Linked DNA regions of Nothobranchius furzeri. The protein of the gene in region 1 interacts with the protein of each later gene in a biochemical or structural test. Links are inferred from orthologs where the notes say so. Each region holds a gene or a part of one and is shown in the gene's direction. Other genes may lie near its edges. The genes, in order: hadhab and hadhb.

The links.
Region 2: the proteins of hadhab (region 1) and hadhb are reported together in a solved structure, tested with the Homo sapiens proteins (2 studies listed by IntAct, with this or other methods). The link is inferred for Nothobranchius furzeri from reciprocal best matches to the Homo sapiens genes HADHA and HADHB.

Annotation. Positions count from the first base shown.
Region 1 is NC_091758.1:20,998,283-21,013,796, reverse strand, and holds the end of hadhab (hydroxyacyl-CoA dehydrogenase trifunctional multienzyme complex subunit alpha b), read left to right. Parts: intron 1-36; coding exon 37-170; intron 171-4,462; coding exon 4,463-4,601; intron 4,602-4,682; coding exon 4,683-4,802; intron 4,803-8,149; coding exon 8,150-8,252; intron 8,253-8,357; coding exon 8,358-8,480; intron 8,481-8,548; coding exon 8,549-8,667; intron 8,668-8,926; coding exon 8,927-8,983; intron 8,984-9,067; coding exon 9,068-9,177; intron 9,178-9,259; coding exon 9,260-9,394; intron 9,395-9,479; coding exon 9,480-9,651; intron 9,652-9,733; coding exon 9,734-9,820; intron 9,821-9,896; coding exon 9,897-10,037; intron 10,038-10,498; coding exon 10,499-10,567; intron 10,568-10,657; coding exon 10,658-10,853; intron 10,854-10,933; coding exon 10,934-11,048; intron 11,049-11,154; coding exon 11,155-11,300; intron 11,301-11,466; coding exon 11,467-11,612; 3' UTR 11,613-12,183; downstream 12,184-15,514. UniProt on the Homo sapiens protein: Mitochondrial trifunctional enzyme catalyzes the last three of the four reactions of the mitochondrial beta-oxidation pathway.
Region 2 is NC_091742.1:11,813,755-11,828,865, reverse strand, and holds the end of hadhb (trifunctional enzyme subunit beta, mitochondrial), read left to right. Parts: intron 1-139; coding exon 140-184; intron 185-314; coding exon 315-414; intron 415-518; coding exon 519-606; intron 607-739; coding exon 740-927; intron 928-1,001; coding exon 1,002-1,182; intron 1,183-3,883; coding exon 3,884-4,005; intron 4,006-4,208; coding exon 4,209-4,288; intron 4,289-4,358; coding exon 4,359-4,406; intron 4,407-4,484; coding exon 4,485-4,572; intron 4,573-4,699; coding exon 4,700-4,774; intron 4,775-6,234; coding exon 6,235-6,399; intron 6,400-6,469; coding exon 6,470-6,505; 3' UTR 6,506-6,810; downstream 6,811-15,111. UniProt on the Homo sapiens protein: Mitochondrial trifunctional enzyme catalyzes the last three of the four reactions of the mitochondrial beta-oxidation pathway.

The DNA of each region.
Region 1 (15,514 bases):
TGAACCATGTGGAAAAACTATGACGTCTCCCTTCAGGTTAACACGCTGTCGGTTCAGATGCAGAAAGAGATGACAGAGGTCATGAGTGAAGTTTGGGCCAATGATGCGGTTAAAAGTGCCGTCCTCATCTCCTCAAAGCCTGGATGTTTCATCGCAGGAGCTGATATTAAGTAAGACACATTTCTGATTGAACTCGTGTGACTTCCTGTTTTGTTTGGCAGTAATAACGACTAATCGTATGAGGTATGGTGGGAGTTCTGGTTCTGGAATTAAAAAAATGAAGAGTCCAAGACCTGCCACCTCACAGAAGGGGGGATATCTTTTAGGGTGTTAAAAGTCACACTAGACCCAAAAATAATATCTACTAATAAATGAATATACATATATAATAAAAGAGTCACCAGAGGCAGGTGAATCCTTCAGTCCCAAAGATTTAGTCACCATTTTGTTCTAATTGAAGTGTTACATTCATTACAGTGCAGCTAAGTTACAAGTAAATGCACACCGAATAACAAACCATGTTTATGTTGCTGTAGGTTGTCACGGTGTGAAAATTTAACCTCACGGTTATTGTGACCAAAATTATCACGGTTTTCGGTATTATCGCGGTATTTTTTTTTAAACGTGGTACATTTTCAGACAACTAAATAAACCCTGTATATCAGGAAAATATCGTCCTCAGTTTGTGTCTAAATTTTGCCTAAAATGTGTTATTTTGTAATTATGTTGTTTATTTGTTTACATATTTTCCCTCTAGTCTTTAAAATACCAATATTTGCCCATAACTTCTTATTTTATGTCTGTTTGATGTCATCATTTTAAAAATATTAGATCAGATGATATTCAGTACTCAAGTAGCCTTGTAATCAGATACTTTTTTACCCTTACTTGAGTAATAAACCCTATATGAGGAAAATATTGTCCTCGGTTTGTGTCCTTCCAGTGAGCTTTGCAGATGTGGGAAAATGTCATCAGCCAGTAATCGTTGTTAAATTCATAATTATTCTCAGAGAGAGACCAACTCCTATCTGTCCCTGGGAGCCCCGTAATGCATAGCGTTGTTTCAACATGGGGGTGTCCGCGACACGGTTTATATGCAGGTAGCGGCGCTGCGGCTGCTTTATATAGCGACTCGTTGCATTCTCCCTCAACCCAAATCCTCAGATCACGCATTTTAGCTAAAACGCTAACGTTAGCTTTCCTTGCGTTGACTGTAGAGTTGTGGGTGATGGTCACGCAGATGTGTCATGAGATTTGAAGCGTTGCTGCCTTTCACAGACACTTTTTCTGCACGTGCTGCAAACAGGATAGCCGTCTTCTATAAACTGTTCCTCGGCATTCTTCAAATATCCAAAAGATGCCCGTACTTCCCACTTTGTCTTCTTTGAGGGATTAAAAAATGAGGGATAAAAAATGTCCTCCTGAGCGCTGCCGTCTCCTCCTTTGGCCATTATTTCAGCTTTAGCTTCAAGAAAGTTTTGGTCGTAAACAACAAAGCGTGCATGTGCTGCCGGCAACTTCAGCAGATGATACGGTGGCTGGTAAGGGTCACCGCGCCTACACCGCAGCCACGGTAATCCCACCAAGATAATATAGTTTTTTTAAAAACAAGACGGTTATTATTATTGTCAACTTTTTTACCATGGTTTACCGCTACACCGGTTACCATGACGACCCTAAACCCCACACGGGTTTTCATACACTTTGAAACAGGGCTATTCAATTCTGGTCCTCGAGGGCCGCTATAGAGCTCCGGACCCCACGTGACTCTCAAGCCCTTTTCAGACAGACATTCTGGAACATTTGTGGACAATTCAATCCGGTTTTTAACCGGAACTGTGTTTTCAGACATGCCACTTTTGTACCGGAACTTGTCCTTTCGGCTGCATTCACACAGCAGGGAAAAGTTCCAGATGTCTGACGGCAGCGGGGGGTGGGGTGGGGGAATCGGACTTATGTTAAGAAGAACAAGAAGAAAATATCATTTCTATAGCGCCTCTCAAGATAAAAGTCACGAGGCGCTTAAGCATAATTCTGCGCACACGAAGACGCATAAGAGACCTGGATGATGAAGCTCAATGGTTAAAGGAATCACTGAAGCGGTGTGAAGCGCTCCGTCACACGTCTAGGCGGTACCGTAGGAGGCGAGCTGCCGTGGTTCGCCGCATTCTACAGCAGCGGGCTATCTGGGTGCGCACAGCGTCCCCCGGTCCCCTCCTCCTCTCCCTCCCTCTTGTCCGGAACTCTACCTCACCAGTCTGAAGCAGCCACCCTGTCCGTAACAAGTCCGGACCTGTTACTTGGGGCTTCGTCCGGATAAATTCTGGAACACATTATCCGGATGTTTGTATTCAGACAGAAAGGTCTTACGGACAGATTCCGGAACATTTCCGTTTTTCATGGCCTGTCTGAAGGGGGCTTCAGTTAGTAGACGCCATATTGGCAGGCAAAAAAGGTAAACAAACACGGATCGTAAACATGAACGAGATCGGCTTGGATTTTACTTCGTCGGAGTTTACTTCACACTTTAACACCGAATAAATCGTTTTATATAGTCAGAAACTAAATAGACTAAACATCTCCGACCCTTACCGTGCCCCTGGGATACTTTTTAAAAACGCCAGAAGCTGTCGGAGCAGACTTCTTACCGGACCTGGCCGGGGGACCCCTTGGGATTTCCCCGGAGGAACTGGCCCAAGTTGCTGGGGAGAGGGAAGTCTGGGCCTCTCGACGCTACTGGCCCCGCAACCCGACTCCGGATACGCGGATGGACAAATAGCATAGATTTACATGTAAGTAGTTTAAATGGAGTGCTGTGCTGTTTGAATGTATAAACTGAACGTCAAGAGAAATCACTAGTTTGATTTTTTTTCCATGAATAAAATAAATATGTCAGGCAGGAGCGTCTCAGGATCTGTCTGAGATCTGTCTCGGTGAAACAGATAATAGCAATCCAAAGTGCTTTTTATGTGTGATCCTACAATCGATCAACCATTGCTTAAAAATTAAATACAGCTTAGCCGGTTAATTGCTGTGATCATAAAACACGGAAACGGCAGCACGCAGAACTCACGAGGCAACGTTTTACGTGATGTTTACTTGTTGCTATGAGTAATAAGACATAAAAAGCCACGCCAAAATAAGTTTAGGAAGCCCACTAAGAATCGTATTAAAAGCATTTAAAATAAATACCATACACAGTTGAGGAAACGTTGGTTTAAGTACCTGATATGAAGTGGTCGCTGCATAAGCGAAATCCTTTACTGTTGTTATCCCACAATTTCATTTTAGCCCGGCCACTAGTGCGCTTTATTGTGATGATCCAACGTTTGCGGGGTTCCGGATCTTGGGGAATCCTGTAGATGGCTCATTCCTTATGTCGTCCGTGTCTGTTCTGCATCTTGGGGCACAACAGGAATCTACCATATTTCCCGTTTGATTGAGTTTTTAACAAATAGTCCAGCTGCGGGCTTCTGCCTGCCAATATGGCGCCGTTTCGATTTGAACTGTTGCATGCCGGGAGAAGTGACGTCAACTCCCGGAGCTCTATAGGCACATTTTAGTTTTAACTCTGCTTCAACACACCTGATTTCAATCAGCAGATGATTAACAGGCTTCTGCAGAGCCTGATGAGCTGCTGCACAGTTGATCCAACCACTGAATCAAGTGTGTTGGAGCAGAGAAACCACTAAAACGTGCTGGATACCGGCCCTCGAGGCCCGGATTTGAATAGCCCTGCTTTAAACCGTCTGAGTTATGTTTAAAAGCTAAACAGAGACCTTCCTTTGCCATCATCTTGGATGGACTGATGTGCTTCATTACAGCATGAAAAGCAATGGAGTTGCAAAAGTCCGTGAAAAACCGCCGCACAAGTGGTACTCAAAAATTTTTGACAAGGTTGGCAGGTCTGCTATTGTCAGTTCTGGTCAGCAGGTGGCGTGCTTGGCAAAAAAAAAAACATATCACAGTACATGATAAGATAATCACTTTTATGGTTTTTAGAAAAAAACATAATAATTCCTGAAAGAGGAAAACGCTGAAAAAATACTTTAAAGGAGGAAAATCACTTTTTTTGCACAACAGCTGTTTTGCTCTGCCATGTTTCTGTTTTAAATATAAATTCCTTCATTCTTGAGTAGTGACGGATAATCCATGTTTACTGCACAAAGACAGGACTCGTGTCTCTGTTATAAACTGCCTCGGTGCTGCTCTTTCACACTTGAGTCTTTTGCCTTCCTCAACATTGCATTATTAATCACCATTCATCATAACAACTTTGAAACATTTACAATGAATTCTGAATTATTTATGCAGAGAAATTCATTGTAAATTAGATTTACTTGGCTTTGTTGTTTTCGCTGAAAGCTTTTATTGCTGCTAGCTGCGTCCACTCTGGCTGTTTGTAAAGAACGTATCAAAACGATGGTGCGTGCATCTAAAACACTTGACTCTCTCCGTCCAGCATGATCCAGGCCTGCAAAACCTCAGAAGAGATCTCTAAACTTTCTCAGGAAGGACAGAAGATGTTTGAGCAGATTGAAAATTCTCCAAAGCCCATCGTTGCTGCCATCAACGGCTCATGTTTAGGAGGAGGCTTGGAGGTAAACGAGTCAAGTGTGTTGTGAAAAGTGAACTTATTGTATAAAGGTTTACTATAACAGGCATCTTTTTGTGTGTTTTAGTTTGCCATTGCCTGCCAGTACAGAATTGCAACAAAGAGCAAGAAGACTGTTCTAGGTACCCCTGAAGTGATGCTGGGCCTTTTACCTGGAGCTGGTGGGACACAGAGGCTACCCAAAATGGTTCGTATTGAAATGATAAATTATGCTTTTGGTGTTCAATCAGTTAAGAAGTGGTTTGGTGTTTATCTCAGTTATAGTGTGTGAAGCATTCTGGTGTAGCTATCTGAACAAAACCTGCAGAGTAATCTGGTTATTGCTTGTAATTGGTTTAAGAAGCTGACGGGTGTCGGTACAAGATCGGCTCGGGGTCTTTCGACTGCCGATGACGTCAAAGTACGGCAAACCCACTCGGACAAAATACACTACACATCTAAACTGCTGGAAAGAATTTAGCAGTTTCGTTATTAAAATAATGTTTCTTACGACGTAAGTTTGTGTTTATAATGGTATTTGTAAAATAAAACACTATATTTTATTCATAATGTTGAACTCCTCTTTGAGCACATCCCTTGAAGAATCATAGGTATTAGAAACACCTGTGAAATTGTATTTGCAGGAAAGAAGTGTGTCCCGTTTATTGAAGTATTTTGTGTTTAGAGTTTTTGACGTCCATGCGTAGTTCAGTTACGCTCATAGCTGCTAGCCAAAACTCTGGAGTTAAAAGTTTTCTGGCTTTACTAAAATACCTGTCTGTACTTATTTGATTGATGGTAGTTTTACTTTCTATTAGACTCCAAATGTAATCATTTGGCACGTTTCTAATTCATAATTTGTAAGAATGTAATCGGTGATATTAGCATTAGCATTCTTATGGGTTTTTCCATGTATATTAGCATTGCGCTAACCACGCTCTGCCAAATTGCAGCCTTTGCGATTAGAAAATCTCCTTTCGTCACATCGCAATTTAATTGCACATGCAGTTAATCGTTCAGCCCTAATATGCATGCAGCTCTATGCTAAAAGTGTATTTTCGAAGAGGTAATGATGGATTTCTTTGTAAAAGTTGTCCATCTTTCCAACAGAAAAATTTGCCTGGACCAACGCAACGTGATAATAATGTAACATGATTACGTAATTCCGTAAGGTTCATGTTCAGCCAATCAACTGCTTTGATGTCATCGGCAGTCGAAGGACCCCGAGCCGATCTTGCACCCGAGCAGATCCTGTACCAACACCTTCTACACTGGTAGCCTGCAGACAGCAAACAAGACAATCCCTTTTCCCTAGGGATAATCATGCCCGGTGCCCTAAAACCCTGATAGAAACCACACTGGTGCATTTTATCTCACTGGGGGGGGGGGGGTGGGGGGGTGGGGGGGGGGGGGTCGCTGGAGTTTTATTTGTTGACAATTAAAATTGCTCCAACGTTTTCAAAGTTAAAAACATTTCTTTTAATCAATCAATCAATCAAATTTATTTCTAAAGCGCTTTTCAAACAAAGTGTGATTCAAAGTGCTTTACAAAATGACCCCATATTCCCATAACAGGTTAAAAACATTAACAAACATATGCAAGCACACACGCACACACACACAGACTCACACACACACACAAGTAAAAATTATATTAGGCTGAGTCCAGATGAGCCAAGTATGGTAACACAAGGAAACGCCGTCAGAGGAGCCGTCTGTCCCGGCAGCATCAGGTCTTCCACACTAAGTCAAGAGCGCTCAGTGGAAGGGGAGCATAGACCCCCACCTATAGAGCGCCCAGGAAGCTACAGTCGACCACCGCTCCCGGGGCAGAGGGCCCCCACAGAGGAGACACTGGATTAAAATGAGTAAAAATGTAATAAAAGAGCTAACATAAATGACAAAAATTAGAAAATAAGTAATAAATAAAATGATCTAGACAGTAAAATAATAATTTAACAACGGTAGTTTCTGCTTCAGCCCTCCCCCCCTCCCCCTGCGCAGCGGCCGCAAACTCACTGATGCGCCTGCAGCCTCTCAGAGTTCCTGCTGCTCTAAACATTAAAATAATTATTTCATTTTCTGTTCCTCACTTCTGATGACCTTCAATGGTGTCTGTTTGTTGCAACCAGCAGGTAGAAAAACTAACTTTTTATTTGACTATTTTTCTGTCCTGCCTGTTTATTATCTTCCTGCATCTCCTCTCAATCCTAAAGAGAAACTGCTACCTGGGTTCATATATATTCACCTTATGAGTTACCTTTGAACTGCAGTTCTAAAAGATCTACCGACCACAAAAACAGCGAAGTGCCGCTGCTCGCCGGCCGCATCAGTGATCGGTGCGTCACCGGAGGACAAAACAGGTGATGCGCTCCGCTCCACAGCAGCAAAATGCATCAGGCGCAAATAAAAGACAGAAAACATTAAAGGAAATGAGCCGACATGAACAATCATGTGTTAAATTAGTTTTTGAGTTGGCGGCACCTGATTTGATAACGTTACTGTGGCCGTGCTCAGGACGCAGATGTCTGGAGCGCGTCAACGATCAGAGCTTTGCATGCGCAAGCCGGTTAAGGTTAGGATGGGGGTGAGGGGAAGGTTAAAAAGGTCACAATTTGGTCAAATGTCCGTTTTAGGGCATGTGTCAGTACCGACGCTCTGGCACAGCGCGTCGCCTCCCGACGCGCAGGAGCTCGTCACCTGCTGTCTTTTCCGAGGACTGCATCTTGCCGGTCATTATCACGTGACAGCGACTTGTCGATGACAAGCATAAAAAGTCACTACAGAGCAGTGAGGTCGACTAGTCGACTAGTTCATACAACCCCTAGTTGGCACCAGTCGCAGTCAAGCAGACATCATCTAAAGATCTTTGATTTGGCTTTTCAGAAACCTTTTAGATTAAAAGAACCTGAACTTCATCTTTTCCAGCATCTTATTTATATAAAAAGCAAATTTTTTATCCCAAACATCTCTGGTAGTTTAATACAAGCAGATAGGAGAATCTAAGGTGTGATTGTTTGTTTAGTTTCCTAAAGGAGCAGAATGAACTAACCAGTTAGTGCACATCCAGGGTATCCACGGGTCCTTAAAACGTCTTTAAAAGTCTTAAATTTGCTTTTCCAAATTTAAGGCCTTAAAAAGGGCAAAGAATCCTTAAGTACAGTTTCCAAAGGTCTTAAATAACCAAAGACCCAATAAACAAGATTCTTTTTTTTTTTTTTTTTTTTTTTCGTGAATATCTAGTTAGTTTTCAGCATTTTTTGTGAACGATGTTTGCGTAACCGTACACATTCAGTTGGGTGTGAAACGGGGCTAGTTTTAGATGGTTAAGCTAGTGGGAGCTTGCGCCATGAGGAAGTGCAAGTTTAATTTTAACTGGATTGCTAATCCAACGTTCGCAACGTGGTTATCACCGGTTCCAGGCAATAGCTGGAAATTATAGTTTAAATTTAATTTAAGAAATATCTTAAATTTGGTCAAAGTGGTCTTAAAAAGTCTTAAATTTGGCTCCCTTAAACCTGCGGACACCCTGACACCTCTTCTCGCACCCTACAGGTTGGTCTTCCCAATGCCTTTGACATGATGCTGACAGGCAGGAACATCAGAGCGGATAAAGCCAAGAAGATGGGGCTCGTCCACCAGCTCGTCGACCCTCTAGGTCAAAAATCTTCTTAATTAGTTTAAAAACCTAAACCTGCTTTAAACAAGGCTGTCCTGTTGAGCTCCGATGTTGTGAGGTAACTTTGTGTGTGTTTTCTGACAGGACCGGGGCTGAAGAGTCCAGAGGAAAGGACGATCGAGTATCTGGAAGAAGTAGCTGTTGATTGTGCCCGAGGCATCGTCAACAATAAGATTCCTCTCCACAAAGAGAAAGGCTTGATGCAGAGTGGGTGTTGAATCGTTGTCCCCTGAGCCGATTTAGTTCTGATCCAAACTAAAACTCAGTCTCCACAGAAATACAAGACTATGTGATGAGCTTCGAGTTGGTACGGAACCAGATTTACAAAACGGTCCACGATAAAGTCATGAAGCAGAGCAAGGGCCTTTATCCAGCACCTCTGAAGATTATAGAAGTAAGTTGCCCCGTCTCCGTTCTCACTGGCTGCATGGATAGATGAAAGTTCTAGCTCCACTTGGTGGATTGGTCTACTGGATTTGTGTAAAGTTTTTTTTTTCTCTTGTTTAGGAAACAACCCCCTAATGTCTTATTTAGTTCACTTTGGATTCAGAGACACTTATTTAAGATTTATTTCTAACTATTTCATTTTTGTACATTTAAAATTTCACTTTCCTTTTACTTCCTGTTTGGTGATCTCCTGTTTTCTCTTCTAGTGTGTGAAAACTGGGATTGAACAGGGTCCCGATGCGGGATACCTGGCTGAGTCTCAGGTAAAGCCAGTTCGTCTGCGTCTCTGTGGCATTTATTGTTTACATCCGTAAACCAAACATTCATAAGTCACCTGTTTGTCACAGAGCTTCGGTCAGTTAGGGAAGACCCCTGAGTCTGCAGCTCTGATCGGTCTCTATCACGGCCAAGTAGCGTGCAAGAAGAATCGCTTTGGAACTCCTGAAAGAGAAGTGAAGTGAGTGTAGTTCTCACATGTGGTCCTGATGGGGGAACAGACGCCAGCTACACCGTTACCTGTTCTTGTTGTTTACCTGCAGAACTCTGGCCATCCTGGGAGCGGGGCTGATGGGAGCAGGTATCGCCCAGGTGACCGTGGACAAAGGCGTGCACACGATCCTAAAGGACACGACGGTGGAAGGGCTGGCCAGAGGAGAGCAGCAGATTTTCAAAGGGTCAGCAGGCTTCACGCTTTAATAAAAACGTTGTTTTTATAATAAAAGACTCTTAAGTCTAACCAGACAAAATATTTGGATTAAGGCTCAACGATAAGACCAAGAAGAGGAGCATCACGTCGTTTGAGCGAGACTCCATCCTTTCCAACCTGACCGGCCAGCTGGATTACCGGGGCTTTGAAAAGGCTGACATGGTCATCGAGGCCGTGTTTGAAGACATTAGCATCAAACACGCCGTGCTGAAGGAGGTGGAAGCGGTGAGTCGGACTCCAAACAAATGACTTGTTGGACTGAATCTAGTCGCTTTTCATTCTGACCCAAAAAGATGTATGACTGCAGGTGGTGTCCCCCCACTGCATATTCGCCAGCAACACGTCCGCTCTGCCCATCAAGGACATCGCTGCTGCCAGCAGAAGACCAGACAAGGTTTGAGCCGTTTAGAAATACGAAAGAGATTATTAATCATGTGTAAAAGTTCTGATGGGTTTCCCTCCCTCTGTAGGTGATTGGAATGCACTACTTCTCTCCAGTGGACAAGATGCAGCTTCTGGAGATCATAACCACTGATAAGACATCAAAGGACACCACGGCATCCGCCGTGGCGGTCGGCTTGAAGCAGGGCAAAGTCATCATCGTTGTCGGGGTGAGATTTGGTGTTTGCTTATGTTACCTAATGGAAAAGATCAAAGGTTTGATAACAAGCTACTCACTGATGATTTATGTTAAAGGTGCAGTATGTAAGAATACAGTGAGAAAATCCCAAAAGAGTCTAATGTTTCTGTCATTTTGGAAGGAAGGTTACACTGAAACACGTTTCATATCCAGCTGGCTGCGGGGATTGTCGGTTTTTCTCCTTTCAAAACAAAGGAAGGAGGGACGTAACTACTGTTAGCCATCAGTGAGTGTGGGGGTGACGTGTCTCTTGCGAGCTAATACTGCAGCGCCGACGACTGTAATTTGACGACGGTCGGCAAAAAGCTCCAGAATTGTTTAAAGTGGTTGCAGTAACCAAATTTTACCACAGGATGTCATTTTTTACTTCTTTTCTACATAATTCACCTTTAATGTTTTAATAGGAGTATTATTACCCACAATTCTTGGCAGGATGGACCTGGATTCTATACAACTAGGTGTCTAGCCCCCATGTTGGCTGAAGCTGTTCGGGTTCTTCAGGTTAGTTGTGTTTTATTTTAACGGTTAAATTACACACAGAAATGGTTTTTATTAGTGTTATTCGTTATTTTTGTGTCTCTTCACAAACAGGAAGGAGTCGACCCCAAGAAGCTGGACACACTCACCACAAGCTTTGGCTTCCCCGTAGGCGCGGCGACGCTGGCCGATGAGGTCGGTATTGATGTCGCGGCGCACGTGGCCGAAGACCTCGGCAAAGCCTTCGGCTCCAGATTTGGTGGCGGAAACGTGGAGGTTCTGAAGACCATGGTGAATCAGGGCTTTAAAGGTACTGCTGGTCCCATTAGAGAACCGTGTTCATACAAGTTTATTTTACATTTATTAACGATGCTTTTTGTTTTTGTGAAGGCCGTAAATCAGGAAAGGGTTGCTACGTCTACCAGCCAGGACGCAAAGCCAAAGACGTCAACCCAGAGATTGGAGACATTCTGGAGAAGTTTAGGATGACACCGAATCCCGCTGTGTGAGTCAGGATTGAACCCACTACGGGAGCAGCGTTCCACACCATCTCTGAGAGTTCTTTTAGCACTGTGAGTAGAAGTTTAAAGGATGTTGGGTCTTTTCTGCAGGTCGTCGGACTCGGATGTGCAGTACAGGCTCGTTTCTCGATTCGTCAACGAGGCCGTTCTGTGTTTGCAAGAGGGCATCCTGAACAGCCCGCTGGAAGGAGACATTGGAGCAGTGTTTGGGCTGGGGTTCCCGCCCTGCCTCGGCGGTGAGACTTTACCTTCATCACCTTCACTGGAAACAGCCGAACCCGATAATCTCTGTTTTGTTCCACATGAATCACAAAACTTAAGAACACTTTTATGCACCATTTTCATCTCTTTCTTTTATTGTTTTGATTATTTTGGTCTAACCCAACTTTTCCATGCTGCCAGGGCCTTTCCGCTTCGTGGACACCTTTGGCGCTGACAAACTGGTCCAGAAGATGAAGCAGTTTGAAGCCGTGTACGGGAACCAGTTCACACCCTGCCAGCTCCTACTGGATCATGCAAGAGATTCTAGCAAGAGATTTCACAAGTGATGGCGTCGCCCTGCGTGCCAGTAGCTGAGGATAAACTCCAGACCGCCACTAGAATGTGCCTGACATTGGTATCACATACGGGACAAACAGGCTGACAGCTTATTGGTGCACCAAACTCAAAGTGCTGTTTCATCAACAACTCCTGCAATAATTCCCACCTTCATGACTTCATGACTGAGCGAGATGTAGAGTAAATAAATAATTATTACTGAGGATCCAGTTTGAGGCAGTGTGAATGTTTTGCAGAAAAACATGAGCTCTTTGAGTCGAGTGTCCACTAGAGCCTCTAGAATGCCTACCTAATAAACTGGCAGCTGTGTGAAACTAAAAGGTGGTTTTGTTAAATTTTTACTTAAATAATAACTTGATGTGTAGATTAAAGGGCGTGGAGGCTGATACACACACTGCATCTGTAAAGACATTTGTGGAAACTTCCAGCTGCCAATTTCATTGTTTAATACTGATGAATGTTGAGGTTTGGGTTCATTAAGTGTCTTTTTGTACATTAAAGCCTTCCTTGTTTGGAGATTTATGTAAATGTGAAGCTTCAATAAAAGACTATTGAAGGAAATCTGCTTTTGTCTTAGTGTTTGGTTTGAAGGCAGGTTGGACAAAATAAAGTCTTAAAACCTGCCGGACTTGTTTACTTAAGTTATTTAAAGAGCAAGTCACCCCCAAATCACATTTTTTTTGCTGATAAAACTATATAAAGGAGTGTCTAATCATGCTACAGACACGTGTAGTCAATAATTTGGCAGTTCATTGCATCTTGGTTAAAATTAAAATATTCTGCCTAAAACTGTCAGTGTTGCACCGTCGTCAGGGAAAAATTCTGCATTGTATTTGAATTTAAATCTGCCACCGCTATTGGCTAAGGTATGCTATGATGTCATCTGGTATATTACGACGTCATAATGCCATTGTGAGCCTATGTGTGTGTGTATTTGTTAGCGGCTCCGCCCTCTCGGTCTGCCAAGCAACAGCATTTGTTGCATTTTTCAAACATGAAGTGGGAGTGAAGTAAGTTTCTTGTAGGGGGTGACTTGCTCTTTAACCCTTACCTAACATCAAAGCATTTTTGGTGCTAAAATGACATTAATGTTAGAAAATTTAAACGTTGGGAAAGAGTTAAGATATTAGGAGATGGTTTAAGTAGAATCTCTTAAAGGTGCATTATGTAGAAATAAAGTAAAAATGACATCTTATGATAAAATGTGGTTACTGGCACCACTTTAAACAACCGGAGCTTTTTGCGGACAGTCAAAATTGTCGGCTCTGCAGTTTTAGCTCGCAGGAGACACGGCAGCCCCACGCTCACTGATGGTAGACAGTAGTTGCGTCCCTCCTTTGTTTGAAAGGAGAAAAACTGACAATCCCCCCAACTGGATATGAAATGTTTCAGTATAACCTCCCTTCCAAAATGACTGAAATATTAGACTCTTGTGATTTTTTCATTGTGAAATTCTCACTATATTCTTACATACTGCACCTTTAATCCTCCCACCGTCCTAATGGGTGTGACCCAGCGAGGAAAGTTGACCATTGAGCAGGATTGATGGTTTATCCTTTGAGATCCATGTGGCAGGGGTGAGGTGGTGCTCACTCCTCACCCCTGCCACATGGACCCAAGCGATAAACCATCAGCCCTGCTCAATGGTCAACTTTACTCGCGGGGTCACACCCATTAGGACAGTGGGAGGGTTAAACTAAAAAGCCTTTGGGTGGCAGTGACAAAGCTCTAGTCTGGGGTCAAGGCCCTTAACCAGGGATTGGATTGGGAATGGACCACAGCTCCAAATAAAAGCTCGAACAGGACAGGCGAGTGATGGGTGGGTTGGCGTACTGACCTGTCACTGTGACCAGTAGGCTGAGCTGAAAGGAGAACCTTCGACTGTGACCTGTGGGTAAGTGTAAATACAAGCAGCCGAAATGAACTTCCTACACAGATTGGCTATGGATTCACCCTCGGATGGTTGAGAAACTCAGCAGTCACGGGTCCTCCACATAAGGAGCATCTGGTACCAGATGTGTTCCTCAGGGCAGACCCAGGACCTGCCGGAGAGATTACATCTCACTGCTGGCATGGATGAGGTGGCGATGGAGGTATTTGCAGCAGAAGATAAATTTATCATTTAGAACTGGTAAAGACCTCATATTTCTGCCTTTGTTTTTGTGGAGCCAAGTACAATATGCATCAACTGTGAAGCAGTAAATGTCAAATCAGAAGACAGGCTGGACTGAGATGTCCACGCGGAGACCTAAAGGGATGGTTTTTGAAGCAAGTTTCTGAGGAAAGACTATTTCATATCTAGCTGTCGTTACCGGTTTGGAGATTAGTTCCGACTACTAACAATGGGGCCAGTTGCAATGTGAGGCTTTTTTCAGCACAATTATAAACTGTGACTTTAATGTTTCACTACAACGAAATTTGACCACAAATATTTAAGTTTTTCCTCAGAATATCACAAAGAAATTAATGTAAATAGCGTGCTTGTGTGACAGGGTGTGCATCCTGTCACTGTTTCCCTATTGATCATGCACCCTGACTGCTTTGCCAGGGATATCCCTTTGGCTGACTGGTTAGCACGCATGACACTCGCCTGGGAGTCTGGGGATCAAATCCCCGCCCAGGCCCTTGCTTCTCCACCTTGCTACATTTGGCATGGTTGGCAGGATCCATGTGTTACTGTGAAGTAGGTCCATGGATTTGAAATCTGTGGCACCCTGCGCGGCACATAGGGACATGCTTGTGGAAAGAGGGGGAGAGATGTGACAGGGTGAGCATGCGCCCTGGCTACTTGGACACATGGATATCCTTTTGGCTGACTTGTTAGTGCACGTGGCCATCACCCGGGAGTCTGGGGATCTAATCCCGCCCGGGCCCTCAATTCACCTTGTCACACTTGGCAGTGAAAATGTTTATGTCAATATTGTTAGCATAACTGCAGCGACATTTCTGAGATTAGTAGCAGGCTATTTTATTATGTATGGCAGTCCTCACTCAGACTAGCCGTTAGCTTATCAGTCTGGTCGTGTAATCTCTGTTTAATCCTCAAAGAGTGTGTGTATGCGCATTTACAGTAAAAAGGTAACCAAATTTATAACCCGCCCAGTATATTTATTTTACGTCTTCTTTGGAATTGATTTGATTGTTTGTTTGTATCTCATTCATTTGAATGTTTAAGGACCAGACGGACCAGACGTTATTTTTGCAGGAGTTTAACGTAATGACTCAAAAAGTACCGCATATATATGTAGGCGACTATCTCAATATTATGAGATAGCTAAGTCATAATTTTGAGATTATATATATATATATATATATATATATATATATATATATATATATATATATATATATATATATGAGAGAGAGAGAGAGGGAGAGAGAGAGAGAGAGAGAGAGAGAGAGAGAGAGAGAGAGAGAGTTATCTGAGTGGCGGGAATGGGCTTCCATAAAAACGCGCACGTTTGGACATAAAATTATTACAACCAGATTACTCTTTTCATTTCCTCATCAACATAAAAACGTGTTTATTTTTAAACTTCTTTTATTTGTTTTACGCTCGCGTGGTAATTGTTTGGGGCTAATTTGTTGAAGCGGCGCACTCATTCGTCGCGCAGGTCACGTGTCTGGTCTCCATTGTCTGCAGAGCAGGGTGTGTTCCGCCGGGACTCAGAGCGGGCTGGGTCGGGCCGGGCTGGCTGCTTTTCCCCTCACATCAGCATCTTTAATTATCCTGTGACATCGCTCCATGATGCCCCGGAAAGGAGGAGACGCTTCGGCCTGAGCGCTTCTCCATGATGCTGATGCTGATGACGGTGAGGCGTGTCTGACTTCTTGTTTTGCCGCTGCTGATGAAACTGAGGCACCTGGAGAAGGAAGATAGAAATAAATCTGC
Region 2 (15,111 bases), on another chromosome or scaffold:
GACAGTTTAGTGTGATTAAGAATGTAAAATAAATACTTTTCATTTAAAATTTAATTAGATAAAAAGGGAAAAAAGCCAGATGAATCTTTGGGATCCTGTTCTTGCTGCTTGATGGGACATTTTGACTATTCGTTTACAGATATGCTGATTTAATGCCTCATGACCTTGCCAGGGCAGCTCTTAAGTAAGTGTGTGGCTCTAGTGTCTTTTTAATTAATTTCTCATAAAGTCTGCCATAAAACTGTGGATGCTAAAGTTCATTTCTAATTCCATTAGCCTCATCGGTTTCCTACCTTTTCCAACGGTTTTTTTAGGGGTCTGCTAAACCGAACAGGAATCCCCAGAGATGCTGTGGACTACATTGTGTACGGAACAGTTATTCAGGAAGTCAAAACCAGCAACGTGGCACGAGAGGTACATGATCAACACGTGCTGGATGAACACGCTGATAAGCAGGCATTAGCCGTGGGTCCCCGTGTGTCAACGACGTCTGTTTTTCTGTATTTATGTAACTCCAGGCAGCTCTCGGGGCGGGGTTCTCTGACAAGATTCCAGCTCACACCGTCACCATGGCCTGCATCTCCTCCAACCAGGCCATGACCTCAGGTATGTTGACACATCTCCACGTTGTTTTTTTTTCTTTTCTTTAGTTTTATTGGTGTTAGCATTAAATCAAACTAACATTTCTACAGTTTACCCTGTTCCTCCCTCAGTTTGACCTTTATCTCCTGTTCTTCAGCTGTTGGACTGATCGCTGCAGGCCAGTGTGACGCCGTTGTTGCAGGCGGAGTGGAGTTCATGTCCGACGTTCCGATCCGCCATAGCCGAAAGATGAGAAAGACGATGTTGGCCCTCAACAAGGCAAAAACCGTCGGACAGAGACTCAGCCTGGTTGGCAGCATCCGGCTTGCCCACCTCTCCCCCGAAGTTAGCATTTACGTTTAATTCTTTTGATCAGATTGTGGAGTTTCTTCCTGAGTGTCGATTGTGTGTTTCGGCAGCTTCCCGCCGTGGCGGAGTTCTCCACAGCGGAGACGATGGGTCACAGTGCAGATCGCCTGGCTGCTGCGTTTGGCGTCTCCAGAGTGGAACAAGACGAGTTTGCGCTACGATCACACACACTCGCCAAAAAGGCCCAGAGCGACGGGCTGCTGGAGGATGTGGTGTCCTTTAAAGTGCCAGGTAAGCTCTGCTTCTCACCTCAACAGTAGGGCTGTGCCATCTTACGTAGATTCTTGCTGTCTTTTTTTTCTCTTGTCATAGCTTTTTGTTTTTTTCCACTTAATTCAGCACACGTTAATTCAAGCTACCAAATACCGTTTACTCCACTACTTTATTCATGTAAGATCGAACAAATTCCCTACGTAGGCTTGAAACCTACAGGATAAACCTGGATAATGAAAGTTAACAGGTCAGTTTAGTTTTTGAACTGGGATCAGCTGAGAGTCGGCAGAGATGTGGCGCTTCTGGTCTTTAAAACACCCGACCGTTCACGTGGGGCTGTGAGGACCTTTAGGAGCGTTGCTTCAGTCGGCATAACACTTTAGTTTAGGGAACACCAATTAACCATTAATTAGCTGCTAATTAATATGCATATTAGTGGACATCTAAGTCTGAGCTAGTCATTATTAAGCACTTATAAACAGCTTATTACTAATGCCGTCATTCTAACATTAACAGGCCATAAACTAAGAGTTTTATCTAAATAAGCCATTCATAATGGTTTGTTACCTGTTTGGTAACTGGTTTGTTGCTGATTAACACACATGCTAAGTAGCTCACATCAACTGACCCTTTGCACGTGACGTCACGCCACTCATGTGACCGCCCCCTTCGCCATGCTGGACGGCAAAAAGACCGTTTACACCCGTAGAAACTCCAGTGATGGTAGTCAAAACAAGCCAGTTTGTAGCCTTGTATCGCTTTTATTTAGTTGATTTGACAGTAAAATGGTTTTAGCTTGCTGCGTGGTCGGCTGCACTAAGAGACAAGGACGTAAACTCAACTCGTTTTTTACTTTTAATAACTTTGATGGAGACTGATGACGGAGATGATGCAGCGATCAATCAAGCGGACTAGCAGGCCTCAGATTTGCAGCAAACATGTTTTTACCTGGTAAGATTAACGTTCATTTATTTCACGAGGAAGACAGGGATAAATGTGATGTGTTTATACTAGTTATTGATAATCCTGATGGATGGGTATTTCACCACGGAGGCTGCGCTCCGTCCACTGTAGTGTAAAGCGAGACAATTATTAACAATATTAAAGCTCAGATGTATGATTACGTGTGGTAAAATGATGTTATTTATTTATATGAGCGTCGGCATTCAGAGATCTTCTCATTCCGGTGTGAGAGCAGCAGCTGAACCCGGTAACACCACCAGCAACAGAAGCTGGTAGGGATCCGGACTCAGCTTTGGTGTAAAATGCTGTTTACAACATAAAGTTATAAATCCAAAGGGGTGAATTTAGGCAAAGTCAGCAACATGTTTACATCGGTGAACAGCTGCAGAGAGAACGTAAGCTAACGTTGGTAAGCTAGTTAACATACCGCTCTCTATGAGCCCCCGCTAGATGCGCTACTTCTTCTGATAACTGAACTGGGCATGAACTAGTGGAAGGAATGCTGGAGGAGTTTTGTTTTTGTTTTGATCACAAAAACAATTTCAGGCTCTACTTTTCCCTTTGTTTACTACTCGTGTCGCTCACTGTTTACATGCTTTAGCCGTCCACCATGGTGGACCCACGTGATTAGGTGACGTCGGTGCAAAGGGTCAATATGTGGCTTTTAAAGATGTAATTCAAGGGGAACATATTCTTGCCTTTAAGTGGTTAATTAATACAGAACTACTAGTAATTAGGTATGAACAAAATCTGACTTTAGAATGGGGAACATATTCTTGCTTACAAGTGGTTAGATTGTTGTTTAGGCTCTATTAACATGGAGTTTGGTGTTTATTTGCATATTACCAGAACGTAATATTTTTGGTTATTAATGCAGAATAATTATTCCCCTTCAATTACTTTGTTACAAGCCTCACATTGATGATATTGAATCAGCAACAAACCATTATGATTGGCTCATTTTGATAAAACTCTTAATTTATGGCCTGCTAATATTAGAATTACAGCGTTGGTAATAATCATCTAATAATAGCTTAATAATGACCAATTCAGACTTAGTAGTCCACTAATATGTATGTAAATTGGCAGCTAATTAATGGTTACTTTGTGTCCCCTAAACTAAAGTGTTACCAAAGCAAGTTACGTTCAAGCTAACAGGAAGCTTGTGACAGCGAGGAGACGGCGCCCACACCCTTTATCCCACCATCATGTGACCACTTTTATGTGGCCAAAGGCTCCCGGGTGCTGCCTCGGCTTTGCAGCAAAGCAACGCCGGAGATTTATGGAGAGGCCGGAGTTGCGGGAAAGTTTAGTTAATCCTTCCTCGGCTGTTTGCTAGTTAGGAGGAATAACCTCTGGCTTCTTCTCTTTATCTAACCCGGGATGGAAACGCGGAAGGTGTGTTGCTGTTGTGCTTTTAGTTTTACACAACTCTTCTTTAATCTGTCTGACGAGTAAATCTCACACTCAGTGGCTGAAACTAATAAAAAAAAAAGCTTCCGCCGTTGCGGGTTTGTTTTTTTCGCTGGTCCGTCCCGTAAAGTGTCCGGGTGGCACAAGTAACTTTTATGTTCCTACCACGCCCGACGGCTGTTTTAGCATTTATTTATAATCGGTTATGAACATTTATGAATAGATGTTTGAGTTGGCACGTGTCTCACCCCTACTGATTATTATCTTTACTGTCATTTGTTTTGTTTACAGAATGTTTAGGGGAACAAACTGTGGTTAAAAGTCTGTATGTTTGTCTCTTCAGGTCGTGATATTGTGTCTCAGGACAACGGTATCCGCCCATCGTCCATGGAGCAAATGGCCAAACTCAAACCTGCCTTCGTTAAACCTCACGGGACCGTCACTGCCGCCAACTCGTCCTTCCTGGTAAAACTCGCCTGGACTCTCGGGGTCTTTCTGCTCCGGTGTGATGGAAACTCATCAGTTAGAACTTTATTCCACCATGATCTTCTCCGCTAGAAGTCTAGATGGAGCTTTTTATGTCTCTGCTTGTCTTTCAGCTTCTTCTCTTCCGTCACGTTTGTCTGATTTTTCCTCGACTGTAAATAAATGTACGTTTATTTCATCAGACTGACGGTGCCTCAGCTGTGCTCATCATGTCTGAGGAGAAGGCTTTGGCCATGGGTTTTAAGCCCAAAGCGTACCTCAGGTACGTATTTAGTTCTTATTTTATTATGTTTTGTGCTTTGATGCTAATCTGTATATTTTTGTTCTGGCAGAGACTTTGTGTATGTGTCTCAGGACCCCAAAGATCAGCTGCTTTTGGGGTGAGCTTGTCATCTTCATTGGAGAAAATTTATAATTTACATTTTTCAGCCTTCTGAACATCTTTTTGACCCTTTCAGGCCGACGTACGCTACACCTAAAGTCCTGGAACGAGCCGGCTTGTCCATGGCTGATATTGATGTGTTTGAGTTTCATGAGGCGTTCGCAGTAAGTCCTCTCCGTAGACGTATAGAAAAAAACTAAACGTTAGCTTAATTGTTTGTCAATTTAAACATTAGGAGAGATTCATCTTTAGCTCGTTACTATGGTAACCGTGCGTATGCTTGTTTTTCAGGGTCAGATTATGGCAAACCTGAAAGCCATGGACTCAGATTGGTTTGCTCAGACGTACATGGGCAGGAAATCGAAGGTAACATAAGATCTTCGGAGCACATCGGGGTTTCTAATGCAAAATAATTGGAGAATTGTTTGTTTAAGTGTGTAATTAAAATTAAAATTCTGCACAAATTTTCATATAATTTAAATGTCAAACGTGCAAAAAGGTTCTAGAAAGTGTTTTCCACCCAAAAATGTTGGAGTTCCGTTATTATCTTTGTTTAACATTAAAGAGCAAGTCAACCCCTACCAGATTCTAACTCCACTCCCACTTCATGTTTGAAAAATGCAACAAATGCTGTTGCCTGGCAGACCGAGGGGGCGGAGCTGCTAACAAATACACACACACACAGGCATTGTGACATCATAATCTACCAGTTTACATCATAGCATACCTCTTAGCCAATAGCGGTGGCAGATTTAAATTAGAATACAGAGCAGTTTGTACCTGACAACGGCACAACACCGCCAGTTTTAGGCAGAATATTTAAATTTTAATTAAGATGCACTGAAGTGCCAAATTATTGACGGCACGTGTCTGCAGCACGATTAGACACTCGTTTCTTTAGTTTATCAGCAAAAAAAAGGTTATTTGGGGTGACTTGCTCTTTAATTATGGTTATTAGTGTAAATGTTTGTTTATTTGCAAGCAAACAGAATAACAACAATATATAGTTAATAGAAAAAAATACTGCAGGAGAGGTAAAGAAAACCACAAGTTCTTATAAAGCCACCTCCTCTGTGACATCAACTATTTCAGCAGCAGGGGTTTAATATTGAAATTTACATCATTTTTCTTTGTTGTTTAAATGAATGAAGTCCAGTTATGAACTGAGTTTCTTCTAAAGGCAAGCCCTTTATGTTTAGGTGTGTTTTCCTTATTAACTCATTCACTGCCATTGACGACTAAAGTCGTCATTTGCATGTTTTTACTGTGTGGGCGTCGGACGAGCCCCCGCACCGTGAGAACAAACATCTCAGCTCTAAAGCAGATCTTCATCTGCACACGTCACATGATCAGGAAGCAGAAAATCCATGTGTTAGGAGATCGCTTTGGGCCGCTGCTGTAAAAAAAGTGAGGCGCGAACCGGAAAAGCTTCTGCCGATCACAATTCAACAACGTATTATGAAAGAATGGATAACGCTCGAAACACGCGGATTCTTCCTGATGTAAGAGGCGAGTCTCTGCTTTGTTTTGGTTGTTTTGGCGTCGACATCATCCTAGTGCGCAACGTTCTGTGACTCTTAAAAAAACATTGAGAAACGCTGGCAGGGAAGGGGTTTACCGATCAGGAAACGGCTGGCAGCGAATGAGTTAACGTTCCGCACAGATGCAAATAAAAATGTCTTGTTGAATAAGTTTGAATATCGGGTGAAAAAAGGCAAATCACTAGTTAATTATACATAGATATACGATAAATGTTCACGTTAAATATTGTCAGACAGTCTATAATTAAAATGTTCACCCTGGCCTAAAGCTGCCTTTCTGCTCAGGTCGGGGCTCCTGCCATGGAGAAGTTCAACACTTGGGGGGGCTCCTTGTCTCTGGGCCACCCGTTTGGTGCCACGGGCTGCAGGCTGGCAACTACTGTAGCTCATCGGCTGAAGAAGGAGGGAGGCCAGTACGGACTGGTGGCAGCGTGTGCTGCTGGAGGACAGGTAACCAGAGGCCGAGCCGTTCTCAACCTGAACGTTACCGAGATGTATTTAAATGTTCTGTCTCTTCCAGGGTCACGCCATGGTGATTGAGGCCTACCCCCAGTAATGCACGCTCCTTCGTTTAGATCCTGATCTTCATCGTGACTGCTGTTCATGTCCCTGCTAACATCTGAACGATGGTGTACATAAAAGCTGCCTTAATCCAACAGAAGGGTGGATGTGTTTGAAGGTGTGAACGAGACTCGGCTCGGAGGCTGCAGAGGAAGGTTTTCTGGATTTGTCAGCAGAGTCTCAGAGTCTAATGTAACATAGCAAAGTTTAAAGAGCTCAGCGGAGCCGTGGTGATCTAATGTTAATAAACACTGTAAGATGTTTTTCATAATTAAATGGTGTGACGATAACCACAGTAAAGCCTGGGTCTGTTGCTTTTCTAGTGCTACCTAAATGGTCTAGAGGTATCAATATAATGTTTGTGATGCATTTTGTTGCAGTCGAAGCAGAAGTATTTAACCTGCGTCAGAGGGCCTGGTCCCCCAAAGTAACCCCCACAGGGCCACCTTATCAACCGCCATTTTAAGACAACTCCTCCCAGACTAGCAGTTAGCTCATCATTCCAGTGGATCGTAAACTGAATTTCTCCAAACAGAGGCCACTCAGGAAGCTTCTACGACAGTTTCTGTTCTAACTTTTAAACAACACAGTTAAAAATAGCTTTTATGCGTTTTCTGCAAACGAGGATACACCTCCAGTATCATCAGAATGACTTTTTATGCTGTTTTTAGTCACATTTGGACTTTTTTGTTCAAAGAATCAGAACTCTTTGCTGATAGAGGGCCTTGACACATGGACAACTTCAAGCAATCGGCCTATGTTTTATTCAGCAGAGATGGAAACCATTGTGAGGAAAAGATCAATGTATAGAGGCCTTTGTGCAGTGGATGAAAACAGAATTTAGGCAGAAGGGGTGTGGAGTCTGTTAAAAGTCTAAACAGCCTTCCAAATTTGCATTGCCAATTTTTTTTCTACTTGCATATTTTTTATGGAGTCTCCATACCCAGATGTGTCAGCAGTAAACCTGCCCTGCATTCCTTTGCCTTAATTGATTGTGAAAAAATGCTGCCTGCTTCTGACGCGACGACTGATGTTAATGAGGAGGTAAAGAGGTGTGCTGAGGCTTCCTGGTGATTTAAAACAACATTAATATGGAAAATTGGGAGCGTGACTGGCAGATGACTTAAAAGTTCAGCGTGCACTGGTGTCGTCTATACGGTGGGAAAAAAAAAACAACTTTTACACCCGCTAAAAGCTTTGGCTAATTGACAGCGGATTGGTAAATTTATATCAACACATTGCCTCCTCTCTGCTTTGGTGTGTGCGATCCCCTCAGCGCTCACCGGGGAATCTCTGCTCAGCACACACACACCTCTCAGGTTGGGGGGCTTGTTAACATAACTTCAGTCAGACACTTCCGTTTAAAATGTATTTAAAGATTTAATTCTTCCAGTTTAAGGAATCCTTGACTCGGAGCGGGGAGGAGCTGATTAATGCAGCCGAGCCTGTCACGCGGGCTGCAGGCAGAGGGAATAAAACCAATGTTTTACTGCCAAGGCAAAACGGAGCTCAAATGTAAATAGCAGGGAGATAGACAGAGAGGGGTTTTGTGTTTATAAAGCTTCAAAAAGCTCCTCAACCCTGCGAGACACCAGAGACACGCAGACACACACCGACATAGCGAGCCGCCTCGCTGCCTCAGCGGGGCTTTGATCAGACGGAACCTTTTATGGGGAATGACTAGCGAATGCACCCGCTGCTGTCACTACAAATCTGCCTCACGGAGCGCGCGGGGAAGCGGGGAGGGGAGGAAGGAAGGTGCGTGGAGGATGTTCGGCGTGTTGGCACGGTGAAGGGAGCCGGGGAGAGACTGGGAGTACAGCGGCGTCTTTCATCTCGTCGTAGCCGGCTCACGCAGGGCGGCACCTGCTGAAAGCTGCACTTAACTTCCTCCACCTGCTAGGTGCGCTGTGTGTGTGTGTGTGTGTGTGTGTGTGTGTGTGTGTGTGTGTGTGTGTGTTGTTAGACAAGATGTTTTACAGTGCTGCACCATAACAAGGCTGCTACTGTACATGCATCTGTGATAAAAACACGATGAAAGAGTTAGTTTATTTACTGATTAGTTTTTTATCCCTATTTTTTTTCTCGTTGGCACTAAAATGTTGCCAATTTCACTAATTTTTTTTGGAAATCTGTTGTTTTTTGGTTTTTGTGTGTAGCTGATGCAGCAAAAAGGTCCCAATAAAATTATAATTAACGAAAAAAAGCACAAAAAATACATTTTCAAGTTAAAATAAAAACACAAACTTCAACTACAAAAATAAAATCGGGGTAGTTTTAAATAAACATTAGCTAATTACTCATTTTTCAAACTGACAATTCCTATTTAATTAGATATTTTTTTCCTGTTGATGTTTCTTTTTGTTTTTCTGTTTAAAATTAAGATTTGATCATATTTATCAAAATATGACAAAATAAAACCTAATCAATGAATATGCTCCAAATTCATCTGGAAGACGTGTAAAAATGTGCTTTAACATGTTAATGCAACACATAAGAACATGATATTTTTTCTATTTTTGTTTCAAATTCACACAGAAGACAGATTTTGCCCCATACAGCACACCATATGACGATGGTGCCTATCAGGTGGGGTACACCCTGGACAGAGAGCCAGTCGATCGCAGGGCAATACAGAGTCACACAGGACAAACACACACACACACACACACACACACACACACACACACACACACACACACACACACACACACACACACACACACACACACACACTCACACCTAAGGACAATTTGGACAGACCAATCCCAATCAACCTAACAGTCATGTTTTTGGACTGTGGGAAGAAGCCGGAGTACCCGGTGTTGCAAAACAACATTGTTTGTTTTGTGTCAGACTTGTAAGGATGAACGTATTGCCACACTGGTGAAGCACTCTGACCTCTCCTTGCTGCAGCATCTTGTTTAAGTCACATTGCTGTCTCTTTAGGTTTAAGAAGCGAGGGCTTGGTGATGGAGCGTGCTTGGATCTGTGTTTTTGATTGGTTGGATGTAAGTAATGGCTCTAGTTTGAAGCTACCCAATAGGGTTTAATGGAAAAATGAAACTTTTATTGATCATTATATATCGTTATTGAATTATTACTATTGAGAATAAAAGCAAAAGGTGGTGAAAGATGTCTACATTATTTTCATAATAAAAATTGTTAAGGTGAAGTTTTGAAATCTTATTGCTAAAAAAAGCTAACTGTTTTAGGACTTCTTAAACTCACACATATGTTAGTGCATCTAATGTTTAAAAAGTGTTTCATTAAAGAGACAATGTGTAGTTTTCACCGTTAATCTCTGAAAATCGAAATGTTGAAAATGAATTAAATGATCCCACGGTTTAAAAAATATTGGCGGCTTTGTATCATATAACCATAAAAATTGGGTTTAAAATACATAGAAGCGGGTCTAAGTCTCTGGAAGACGCCAAATTAGATGCAATGTTTCCTTCTACAGGAGCCCGTGAGGATAAAAAGCAATTCCCAATTTGTAACAAGCAGGTACAAAACTTTTGCCATTTATAAATGTTGTTTTACACATTGACCTTTTCGCTTGTTGCCAGTTTCGGCAAGGTGGAGAAACGAGGTCCTGGGCGGGATTCGACCCCCACACTCCCGGGTATGTGTCACGTGCTAACCAGTCAGCCTGGGATATCCCTGTGGCCAAGTAGCCAGGGCGCATGATCAATCGGGATACAGTGACAGGAGGCTGGAGGTTAACTATCAGACGAAGTACTTGTTCAAAAATTGCACCACCAGAGATTTTTGACCCTTATGGCCATCCATTGGTAAGGTCTTACTCAAACACAAAAATACTGCTTGCAGTGATTTAGGTATGCACTGCCCTTTATCACCTCGGAAAATACACTCAGTCACTTTAAAGTAACACTGAGCAGTATCCTGCTCACTGACCCTACTGGTTGAAAGTGTAACTGTCGCAAACAATCCTACTGCGGCCTGCAGAAGCTAGCGCTAACAACAAGCTAACACAAACATCCAGTAGCTGGAGTAAATAACGTCCAGTAGCAACAAAGCCAGGTCCCCATCAGTCTGTGATTTTGTAGCCTTCTGTAGCTCCCTCAGATTAGCGTAGGCAGCACCGATGTTCACCCTGGTTTTAGCTCTTTGCTTCACGTCCAAAGACATTACTCTCTTACGTTTACTTCCAGGCTCCGCCATGATACCGACAGAAAAGTAAACTTCTTTTTCTTCTTATTTTGCTTTTTATTGATGATAAGCAAACTGAAAAAGCTAATAGTTAGCATTACAGCTAACAGCTCCACAAAACTATCAGTGGTATCTGGCCAGCAGAGGGCAGCAGAGTGGTGTCATAGATGAAACAGGTCAAGTTTCTAACTCTACAACCACTGAGATCAATGTTAAGGCTCTAGCTTAAAATTAAAAAAACTATTTATTGTTACTTTAATATTGTTTTCCTGTAAATGTATTTCAAAACTATTTATGAGCTTAAAATGTCTTGGAGCGTTTGCGACTTTTATTGTGAAGGAATTTCCTTGTTGACCTCAGTGGCTGCAGCTGCAGAAGTAGTTAAATGACCGCACCTCATATTAAGTAAAATGATGTGTTTTTATAGTTTAATATGTCAAAATGTGCAGAAACTGCAGACATAGATGAGTTCAGGAGCACAGTGGGGTTAATTTCCTCACACTCCCTCTGGAAAAGTCTTCTTTCAACTTTTTCTGACAATAATTAGATATTTTTTTCTCGACATTTCTACTTTACTCAGGAAAAATACGTAACTTGTTCTTGTCACCTTTTTGTTTGTTCACCTTCTCGGTTGTGCCTAATATGCCATCACTACTGAAAGTACCCATGCGTGTGTTTTGTTTAAAATGTAAGATGGGAAGAAACGACAAAAACACCTTCTGATACTAATCCTAAAAAGTACACCTGTGCATTTATTTATTAACTCACATGAACTTCTATGTTTAATGTATGAGTCAGTAATCCAATGTTCGTGTATTATTTGACATTTGTTACCAGTAGATTACGAATTCTGTAATCGAGGTGGTCCACCTTTTCACAAATTTACAGCACAACATGCTAAATTAATGTCAAACACAACTTTAAAGGAACCAGAATCAGCCTGAAATGAGTCCAGCCTGATGATATCAGCTGTATTTTTACAACATACATCACCATCCTATGACCCGATCGGCATAAATAGATCCCGAGGTCTAAATAGAAGGAAGCAAGCCTGCAAATCTGAGTTTTTTTTCAGGATTTTAAGAAACTAAATAATTTGCACTCGTTTGTATAAGTGTTGGATTAAGTAAAATACTCTGCCATGAGCATGCATAAACTATAAAATCCAGTCTTCCTGTCTGCATGGAAACCGTGACGCTGAGACCGTTAACTCGCTCCAGGGCTGCTGTCTGGCTTTGGGCCGACCTAATCAGGACTCACCTGTCCTCGGTTGTTCCTCGTTGTTACACAGCCATCGTGTGTCATCACGTATTTGGTTTAGAACAGTTTTTGCTAGTTTTTTTTTCCTCACTGTTACAGCTTAAAGTTCATAAATTGATCAGTGACTTTACTGAAAAAAATACATTATTGACCTAGTGGAACTATTTTATTTGTGGTTTTGTATTTTAACTTAATTTATTCTTAATTTGATACTTTTTGGAGATGTTCTCAAGCAAATCGCCCCTTTGGGTATCGATAAAGAATCGTAACCAAAACTCTACATTTCACATGTTTGCTTGACCTTTTTTGGGAATATCTTAATATTTTTAATCTAAAAATGCTATTTAGATCCTTTAATTTACTACACTAGTGAGATCTGATAATTATCTGAAAAACAAAAAACACTCTGTGTCCTCTAAAGCAGGAGTATTCAACCCCGGTCCCGGAGGGCCGGTATCCAGCACGTTTTAGTTTTAACCCTGCTTCAGCACACCTGGTTTCAATCAGCAGATGATTAACAGGCTTCTGCAGAGCCCGATGAGCTGCTGCACAGGTGATTCAACCACTGAATTTGGTGTGTTTGAGCAGAGAAACCACCAAAACACGCTGGAATTGAATATTCCTGCTCTAAAGAGTTGTTTAAAAGTTGGAGTGTTTTTACTGACTGTTTATTTGTACGTTGGGAGGCGCTTACGTCAGCTCCCATGCCACTTTTACATGCACCATGTAGATAAACTGGAATGGAGTTTTCACAGACTTCAATGTGCAAAACAGTTTAAGGTTTAGTTGAACTGCATGCAACTCAATGTAGATAATTGGATAAAAATCTGAAATGTGCAGTTGATCTCAGAGATTTAGTTTAGGGCTGCACAGTGGTTAGTGCTGTTGCCTTGCAGCAAGAAGGTCCCGGGTTCAAATCCCGGCCTGAGGTCTTTTTGCATGTTTGCATGTTCTCCCTGTGCATGTGTGGGTTCTCTGTGGGTGCTCTGGCTTCCTCCCACAGTTCAAAAACATGACTGTCAGATTAAAAATTGGGCTTCCTGACAGGGTTGCGGAAGGCACTTTATAAATAAAGCTTTGATTTGAAAAATGACCTATGTGTGTGTGTGTGTGTGTGTGTGTGTGTGTGTGTGTGTGTGTGTGTGTTTCTGTGTTGCCCTGTGATGGATTGGCAATCTGTCCAGGGTGTACCCTGCCTGTTGACTGCTGGAGCCCCCACCAGCCCACCATGACCCTGCGTGGACAAGCGGGCTCAGATAATGGATGATAGTTGAGTTTATTGAGATTGAGCTTTGTCAGCAAAAGAGAGAAAATGCTTCAGTAAATGCCAATTTATTTTTTTTAAGAATCTACCAGAAACAATGTAGTTTCTTCTTTGAGAACTAGTCATCAAAGTTGATGTGATGAAGTCTAAATGCAGCAATCTTTCCTTTGCAGATTTTCACCAAAACACCCGACTGTGTTGATGAATACTTCACAAATGTTTTAGCTCGTTATTCTGTAAGAAAGTTTTCCCTCCTACATAAAAATCAAAGTGTTTTATTTTGTCTCTGTAACACAAACTCTCAGTATGATCAGGCTGGGTTTTTGTTTAAGTCTCTGAGGTGATGCTTGTTCTGGGTCTGACAGACAACACAAACACCTTCGGACTGTTCTGGGTTCGGCTCGGTAACACCTGGAGACGTGAAACGGATCCAAACGGGTGAAGTCAGCGCACTGAACTGTAGCGAAGTACCCAAGCTGATCTGACCAGGGGCTTGAGTGCGGAGCACGGAGTCTCTTTTTTGGATTCTGGAGGGAACTTTGGCACACACACTCATAAATACATCTAGGCATCTGCTGGATGTACACTGACTTGTACACAGGTGGATGGCAGAGGCAGTGTGGAGCAAGTGGATTATGAGCAACGGTAATTGGCTGTCCTGAGAAGCTGCACGTGTGTGTGTGTGTGTGTGTGTGTGTGTGTGTGTGTGTGTGTGTGTGCTGTGTCCGGAGTTCATTATGTTCTCATAACGGTCAGTTAGGGTTGTCCGCCAGGCTCAATCTCCTGTTGGGATTGTAAATGTTATCGATCAGACAAATACGCCGCATCCATAACGAGAGCCGAGACACTTTTCAGACCCACACACACACACACACACACACACACACACACACACACACACACACACACACACACACACACACACACACACACACACACACACACACACACACACACACACACTCACACACACAACTCATTAGAAGCCATACACACTCATAGACATATCCTCATTAACACTCCCCAGTCACACACACTAAACATCCACACACATCTAGTTGTCAGACCGCACACACACACACACACACGTATGCGCGCACACACACACATACACACACACACACACACACACACACACACACACACACACACGCATGCGCGCACACACACACATACACACACACACACACACACACACACACACACACACACACACACACACACACACACACACACACACACACACACACACACACACACACACAGATTTAGTTGAGTGAGATGGGAGGAAGAGTCAAAGATGGGTATCACCAAATGTGGACATGTGTGTGCATATGTGCATGTGTGTGCCTATATTGTGAACCTGACATTTTTGTTGTGTGTGTCTGTGTGTGTGTGTGTGTGTGTGTGTGTGTGTGTGTGTGTGTGTGTGTGTGTGTGTGTGTGTGTGCCAGAGTCTGTCAGCCCCAGCGTCTCGTGTCAGGGCGAGAGGCAAGACATTAACAACTTCTGTCATACTGCTGACAAAATGGTGGCAGAAGATTTCCCATGGTGCCCTGATGACTGCTGGCGTTTGTCAACAAGCCCTGTCACCGCTGCAATGAGGGGAAGGGGGGTGAGGTGGTGGGGATAAAGGAGAGGCAGGGGGAGGAGGAGGGTTAGTGACAGGCCCCGGACCCGTTCCCATGAGCACCATGGAAAGAGAGAGGTGTGTGTGTGTGTGTGTGTATGCATGTCAGAGTGTGTGTGACTGAATGTGTGCTGTGAGAGGAGTGGGAAAGTTGGAAGGTAAGAGGAAGAGGAGGAGGTTGTCTCTCAGTAGCCTTCATACAGAGACACTGTGAAAAACCAAAATGAGCTGTCACTGCAATTCCCAGGATGCCTTGCTGTTTAGCATAGCAGCA